2 linked regions of the Oryctolagus cuniculus genome follow. The protein of the gene in region 1 interacts with the protein of each later gene in a pairwise test. Links are inferred from orthologs where the notes say so. Each region holds a gene or a part of one and is shown on either strand. Other genes may lie near its edges. The genes, in order: PRR22 and NELFA.

The links.
Region 2: the proteins of PRR22 (region 1) and NELFA interact in a two-hybrid assay, tested with the Homo sapiens proteins (2 studies listed by BioGRID). The two-hybrid records come from large-scale screens. The link is inferred for Oryctolagus cuniculus from reciprocal best matches to the Homo sapiens genes PRR22 and NELFA.

Annotation. Positions count from the first base shown.
Region 1 is NC_091447.1:60,353,582-60,357,334, forward strand, and holds PRR22 (proline-rich protein 22), read right to left. Parts: upstream 2,376-3,753; 5' UTR 2,232-2,375; coding exon 2,096-2,231; intron 2,012-2,095; coding exon 1,949-2,011; intron 1,759-1,948; coding exon 806-1,758; 3' UTR 556-805; downstream 1-555. Other genes in the region: DUS3L (tRNA-dihydrouridine(47) synthase [NAD(P)(+)]-like), read right to left, coding at 2,529-2,601, 2,678-2,806, 3,008-3,196, 3,275-3,350, 3,605-3,701.
Region 2 is NC_091433.1:823,907-827,699, forward strand, and holds part of NELFA (negative elongation factor A), read right to left. Parts: intron 1,729-3,793; coding exon 1,557-1,728; intron 1,337-1,556; coding exon 1,175-1,336; intron 369-1,174; coding exon 279-368; intron 94-278; coding exon 1-93. UniProt on the Homo sapiens protein: Essential component of the NELF complex, a complex that negatively regulates the elongation of transcription by RNA polymerase II.

The sequences.
Region 1 (3,753 bases):
CCAGTGCCTGCCCAAGGCAGAAGTGGGGCCCCGAGCCCCCTCCCGCCTGCCAACGGGCGGCCTCCAGCCCTTGCTGTGGTTTTTGTCCACTTAATCTCCCCCCAGCGAGCTGCTTCTCCTCACGCCCGCGAGGGCTCTGCACCTCCCACCCCTGCCTGCACTGGTCTCGGGGCCAGCCCACCCCCTGGCATTCATGTGAGGCCCAGAGGGGAGCTGGGTACAGTGGCCACGGAACCAGTGCACGTGGAGGGGTCAGCTCGTCCCTGGGGGCGGCCGGTGGCCTGGAGACCCTGGCTCCTCATCCCTGAGCTCCGGAATGAGGACTCCGGGGAGGGGAGCACAAAGCACGGTGGCCTGCCTGGAAGAGGCATCCCGGCCTCAGCTGCCAACCTCATTGTCCTGCAAACCGGCTGGGGACTTCCAGGGCACAACTCTCCTTTGGTTCCCAAAGTGAAGGCTGAGCAGAGCTGGCCCCTGTAGGGGAGGGAGCCCACCGGGACCCCACCCCCACCCCCACCTCGGAGAGTGTCCGCAGAAGCACCTGTCGCTCAGGGCGTCTGTGTCCCCCGCCCCTCACCTGGGCTGGGCATCTCCGCGCCCCGCCACAGCCGCGGCCCCCAGACCCCTGAAGTGGCTCCACCTGCGCACAGCACCGCCCCCTCCCCCCACAGCCCACGAGGCGGGAATGGCCGGCCGCACCTGCGGGTCCAGCCCGGCGGCCCCAGAGCGCCCCCTGCCGGCCGCCGCCGCCGCCGGTGCAGCGCCCACCGCGGAGCCGACACGGAGCTGAGCGCGCAAACTCGCTTTAATGGGGGGCGGCCCCCAGGTCCGCTCGGGGCCCCGCCGCCGCCGCCGCCGCCTGCTTGCCCCTGCCTCCCGGCTTGGCCTTCTTGGCGGCCGAGGCGCCCCCCGCCTTCTTCCTGCCCGCGGGCTCGGGGCGCGGGCCGGGGGCGGCGGGCGCGCGCGGCGGCGGCGGCTCCTCGTCCAGCGCCTTGAAGTTGAACAGGCAGTCCACGTTGGCCACGGCGTCCAGCAGCTCGGGCACGCTGTAGTCGAAGGACAGCAGGTCGGCGGGCAGGTGCAGCGAGCGGATGCCGGCGCCCGAGTCGCTGCTGCCGCCGCCGCCGTCCCGCGGGGGCGCGGGGCTCGCGGCCGCCTCGGGCGCGGCGCCGCCGGGCAGGCAGTCGAAGAGCCGCATGGCGTCCTCCAGCAGCACCTTGTCCGGCAGCGCCGCGCCCGCGCCCGGTGCGGCGGCGGCGGCGGCGGCCTCGGCGGGCGCGGGCGCGCGGAGCTGGCTGAGGCGGCCCTGCAGGTGGCCGAAGGCGCCGGGCGGCAGCGCGGGCTCGGCGGGCAGCGTGATGACCAGCGGGGGCAGCTTGGCCTCCGGCGGGGCCGGGGGCAGCTCCGCGAGGCCGGGGGCCCCCGCGTCCCCCACGAAGCCCAGGGAGTCCGGGTCGGGCCCTTCGGGCGCGTAGTAGGGCATGAGGTATGGGGGGCCCGCGGGCGCCGGCGGGAAGTGGGGGTACGGCGGCGGCGGCGGCGGCGGCGGCGGCGGCGGGCCGGGGGCCCTCAGGTAGGGCCGGGGCTCCAGGAGGAAGCCGCCCGAGGCCGCGGGACTCCCGGCCGGCGCGCCTGCCGGGGCCACGCCGCCCGCCGCCACCAGCTTGTACAGGGCCGTCTGGCCGAAGTCGGTGGCGGCCCACTCGATGCGGTAGATGCGGGGGTCAAAGAAGCAGCCGCACGGCGCCATCTGGAAGCCTGCAGGGCGGGGAGGGGCCCGGGGGCTCATGTGGGGCGGGGGGCACAGGCGCTGTCTCCCGGGCTCCCTTGGAAGCAGGGGCTGGGGCTGGGCGCGGGGAGCCCGGAGCGCGCGTGGGGCGGCCGAGGGTGGCGCTGGGGGAGAGGGCCCGCCCGCTGGGCCCCGGGCGGGGGCTGGGGGCGGCAGTACCTGCGGGCGGGGCGGGGCACGCCTCGTTCTCCGGGTTCGGGGCGTGGTACAGGCCCGAGGAACCTGCGGACGAGGCGCCCGGGTTGGCGGGGCCCTGGGCGGGTGGGCGGGTGGGCAGGGGCCCCGGCCCGAGCCCACCCTGCGTACCCACGGCCGGAGGCGGCTCCGGGGCGGAGGCAGCGGGCTGGCCGCCGGGCCCCTCGCTGGGCTCCAGGCCGCGGGGCCCGAAGCTGTCCGGGGGCGCGGCGGCGGCGGCGTCGTAGAAGGGCTGGGGGTGCTGCATGGGGAGCAGGGCGGCCCAGCCGGGGGCTCCGCGCCAGCTTCTGTTGCCCGGTTGCCGGGCAGCGGGTTCCACCCTCAGGGTTCTGGGCCCGGGGCCGGGGGACCCCGGCGGGCGGAGGGAGGGGGGACGCGGGGGCTGGCTGGGCTGCGGCCGGCGACACCCCCCGCCCCAGACCAGGCCGCTGGTCCACGGCGGCCCCGCGCCTGCTGCCCTCCCGGGGGCGCTGGTGGGTGCGCGCGCAGATCACAGGAAGGCCGAGCCCGGCTCTGGAAGAATAAACTTTATTGTTCCTGGCGGCTACTTGTAGGCGTTGGCCTTGTGCTTCGGGAGGAAGACGAAGTTGGGCGGCACCGGCCCCAGGAGCATTTCGCTGTGGGGGCGGGCGGCAGGGTCAGCCTGGGCCCTCCGCGCCCCCCCACCCCACCCCCACCCCGGCCCCGCAGCACCTGATGCGGATCCAGTCGGCCGCCCGCTGGCTGGCCATGAGCGTCTCCAGGTGGTCCCGGCCCAGGTAGTAGGGCGGCCACTCGTTGATCCTCTGCGGGAGTCGCTCCAGCAGCCCCACGGGCACGTACCTGCGGGGCGGGACCACTCAGGCCCCGCCCCGCCCCCGCACAGGGAGGAGCCCCGGCCCGCCCCGCCCCGCCTGCACAGGGAGGAGCCCCGCCCCCGCCCCCCACACACAGGGAGGAGCCCCGGCCCGCCCACACAGGGAGGAGCCCCGGCCCGCCCCACCCACACAGGGAGGAGCCCCGGCCAGGCCCGCCCCGCCCCACCTGCACAGGAAGGACAGCCACTCGAGCAGGAAGCGGCGCGTCTTCTCCACGCCCTGCGTGTCCGAGCCCCAGTGCTCCAGGCCGTAGCGCGTGAAGTCGCGCAGGATGTCCAGGCGCTCGGAGGCCGAGATGTCCCAGTGCCGCTGCTCCTTGATCTCCGTGAACAGCCAGGGCTTCAGCAGGGCGCCGCTGCGGGCGGGGGGGGGCGTGGTCAGCGGGCCAGGCCGCCCCCCAACCCAGCCCGCGGACCCGCCCCCGCCCGCTCACCGGGCCACCATGACGCCGGCCACCCCGGTCTGCATGGCGCGGTTGGCGTCCTCGTACGACAGGATGTCGCCGTTGCCTGGGGGAGGGACGGGTGTCGGTGCGGGGGTGCCCACAGAGCAGCGGCACCGGGCGGACCCCACACACCCACAGAACACCAGCACGGGGCTGGCGCATCCTCCCCCACCGCACCCACCGCACAGCGGCACGGGGCTGGCGGCCCCTCCTCCCGGGGTGGACCCCCCCCTCCCGGCTCCCCCCACCCACGGAGCAGCGGCACAGGGCGGCGGGCCCTCCTCCCGTCCCCCTCCCGTCCCCCCGCCCCGCACCCACCGAACAGCGGCATGGGGCTGGCGGCCCTGGCGCACTGCGCGATGTAGTCCCAGTCGGCCCGCCGGGTGTAGCGCTGCTCCCGCGAGCGCCCGTGGAGCTGGGGGGAGGGGGCGGAGTCAGCGGCAGGGCCGGGGAGGGGCGGAGAGGAG
Region 2 (3,793 bases), on another chromosome or scaffold:
GCGGGATCGGGGTCCGGTTCCCCGCGGGGCTGAAGACGCTGGGCGCCGTGGGGCTCCGGAAGGGCGCCTGCTTCGGGATGCCTTTGAGGGGGGCTGGGGGGGCGCCATCAGCCCATCAGCCGCGTCCTCCCTTCGGGGCTCCTGACCCTGCGGCCCCGCCCACAGCAGCACGCGGCGCCCACCCCGACAGCTCAGCAGAGGGGTCGGGCGGAGCCTTGGCTGAGGTGGGCGCGCCCAGCGCCGCGGCCCCCGCCGAGCGCCCACGCGTGGGGTCTTACTTGTGGTGTCCATCTTGCGCAGCAGCCCGCGGCCCTTGGTGTGGAACGGCACCCCCGCGCTGCGCTTCAGCTGCTGCGCCGTCTCCGTGGCTGTGGGAAGGCGTCCGCTTCAGCGCTCCGCCTGGACGCAGGCGCGGGGGCCCCAGGGTGGGCGCGGGCACCCCAGGGCAGGCACGGGCACCCGAGAGCAGTGTGGGGACCCCAGGGCGGGCGTGGGCACCCCAGGGCGGGCGTGGGCACTCCGGGGCAGGCGCGGGGCACCCCCAGAGCAGTGCGGGGGACCCCAGGGCAGGCACGAGGACCCCAGGACAGGCGCGGGCACCCGAGAGCAGTGCAGGCGCTGGCACCCCAGGGCGGGCGTGGGTGCCCCAAAGCAGCGTGGGGACCCCAGGGCGGGCACGGGCACCCCAGGGCGGGCACGGGCACCCCAGGGCAGTGTGGGGACCCCAGGGCAGGCACGGGCACCCCAGGGTGGGCAGGGCACCCCAAAGCAGTGTGGGGACCCCAGGGCGGGCGTGGGCACCCCGGGGCAGGCGCGGGGCACCCCCAGAGCAGTGCGGGGGACCCCAGGGCGGGCACGAGGACCCCAGGACAGGCGCGGGCACCCCAGGGCGGGCACGGGCACCCCAGGGCAGTGTGGGGACCCCAGGGCAGGCACGGGCACCCCAGGGTGGCCAGGGCACCCCAAAGCAGTGTGGGGACCCCAGGGCGGGCACGGCACTCCGCCCACCCCGCCCCTGGGAGACTGATCCGAGTTCCCGGCGGCTGTCTGTCTCTCTGCCTTTCAAACGGATAAAAATCAAAACCAAAACGGCCCGCGTCGCGGTGCAGGGGAGTGCCGGCGGGTGCCCCCGCGCGCCCCCGCGCGCCCCGCGCGCCCCCGCGCGCCCACTCACACTTCTGCAGCAGCTCGGCCCGCAGCGTGGCGCTCTTGGGCTTGCGCTTCAGCTGGAAGTGCTTCACGGGCGGCGTGAGGGGCCCGGCGAGCGTGGTCAGCGCGTTTTTGTTCAGGTACTGGCACTCCAGCGGCAGCATGGCCGACGCCTCGCACTCGCCCACTGCCCGGAAGCAGGCGTCAGGCCCGGGCGGCCCCACGCGGGAAGGGAGGACGGCGAGCTGCGCCCGCCCCCGCTGGTGGCCTCCCCGGACCTGCCAAGCGCCGGCCCCCAGCCCCCCTGGCCTCAGGTCAGAGCCCAGCAGGTCGCCTGGGAGCCCCCTCGGCCCCTCGTGGAGGCTCGCGGGTTCTAGCAGGTGCCCCCCCCCCCCCCCCCCGCGCACCTTTCTCCCTGAGCTCCCCCAGAATGTCCTGCACGTTGGAGTTCTGCTCCTCCAGGTCCAGGTTGAGCGCGCCGGTGTCCGGGAAGGACTTGAGGATGTCGGCGACCATGAGCACCCAGGGGTCCGAGTCCAGCGCGGCCAGCTGGACGATCTCCATCAGCACGCCCTTCATCTGCGGGACAGGAGACGCTGCCGCCGGGCCCGGGCAGCAACCGCGCCCTGCCCTGCCGCCGCCTCCCCACACTGCAGACCCTGACGGCACCCCTGGGGGGCCACCCCGGGGCTGCCCCCACCTCCCGACAGCCCCTTCTGCTCTTCAGGCGCGGGCGAGGGCCTGGCTGGGGCCAGTCAGCTTGCACGTGCCGCCCCAACCACGCCGCAGGCACCCCCGTCACCAGGAGAGAGCTGCCCCCGCCAGAGGAGCCCCTTCCCCTGCTGAGACCGCGAACAGGTGTCCAGGGGTGACCCAGTGCCTGACACTCCCCCTCCCATCAGGCCCAGACTGCCCAAAAAGGCCAGCAAATGGGTGTGAACTCCGCCCAGGCACCGCCCCACGCCAAGTCCCTGAACCCGGAGGACCCTCGGTCCCCACCACTACCACGAGGACAGCTGGCGAGAGGAAGAGGACGCCGGGGGTGAGAGGAGGCAAACCCCGGGCAGGGGCTCCCTGGTCTCAGGGGTGCGGGCCCAGCCCAGGGGCAGGGGTGGCAGCACGCCCTCCTCCCCTGCTGGGGGCCTGAGGGCGGAGCCCTGCTGTGCCAACTCCCCATGCAAGCCAGGAGAGCGCCTGGGAAGCGAAGCCTCCACACCCTGCCTCCCCTCCCCTCCCCTCGCCTCCCCTCGCCTCCCCTCCCCTCCCCTCGCCTCCCCTCCCCAGGAGCCCGCAGGGGAAGGGTCTCCAGTTCTCGCCCGGAGGGCGCCTGGCACACCCTGATCCAGCCGATCTAGAACCTCACAGGCGCAGGCCAGAGGCCAGCAGTTCCCGAGGCGCAGGAGCAGGTGACAGTGGGAGACGTGCGTCACGTCCAAAACCAGCGAGCGTCTGACACCCCCAACAGAGCGACCAGGGACAGCAGCCCAGCGCTAAGGCAGAGGGGCACTGCTCGCCACCCGAGCGCCTGGGAGACCCGGGCGGCCCCCGGCTCCTGGCTCCGGATCGGCCCAGCTCTGGCCGTTGCGGCCATTTGGGGAGGGAACCAGCGGATGGAAGACCTTCGTGTCTCTCCTTATAGCTCTGCCTTTCCAAGAAATAAATAAATCTTAAAAAAAAAAAAATTACCAAAAAAAATTTATGACAGCAAATCACACACACGCAAAGGATGTGCCAAGTGAGCAAGGCTGACAAGGCGACGAGGCCGGCGCGACCGGAGCCGCGGCACTGCCGACGGCCCGGCGGAGAGCCGCTGAGTGGCAGGCTCCCCCTCGGCCCCGCCCCACGCAGCGACTCCCACGGGGCCCAGGGCCTTCCACACACACGGACAAAGGAAAGCAGCCCGCGTCCTCGCCCGCGCCAGCTCCCTGCTACCGCACCTGGGAAGGCAGCAGAGGACGCGGAGGCCCTGGGGGCCTGCACCCGGCGCGGAGACCCGGAAGCGCCTGGCTCCTCACTGGCCATCTGAGGAGTGACGCCGTGGATGGAAGCTCGCTCGCTCGCTCGCTCTCCCCTTGAGGGGGTGGGTGTAGGCCAGCGCGCCGGGGTGCAGTGCCTGCCAGCTCCAGCCTCCGCGGGCCGCATTCTCCGAGAGCGTCACACGCTGCACGTCACTGATAGAAACGTACCCTAACCCTCCCCTTCCATGGTGCGAATCGAGAAACACCTTCTTTAGCAAAATGTACTTTATTTACTCGAAAGGCAGAATGACAGAGACGGAGAGGGAAAACAGAGAAAGCTCCCCACCCGCCGGTTGGCTCCCCAGATGGCCTCAATGCCGGGGCTGCGCCAGGCCGCCAGCCCAGTGTGCGTCTCGAGACAGAAGAGTTGACAGTGGAGCTGGTGGCGTGCTGTCTGGCTGCTGTCACCCAGGGCCGCGGGGGTCGCAGGCAGTGACGTAACCCACCAGGCACAGCGCCGGCCCGAGAAGCATTGTAAAGCACACAGGGACCAGTGAGGAAATTACCACGGACAACACTGGGCCTCAGTAAAGAAACAGCGCGCGTGGAAACCTGAGGGCGCAGCGCGGGTGCAACCGGAAGAAACTCCACGCCCGCGCAGGAGACAGCGGCAGGCACAGGGCCGA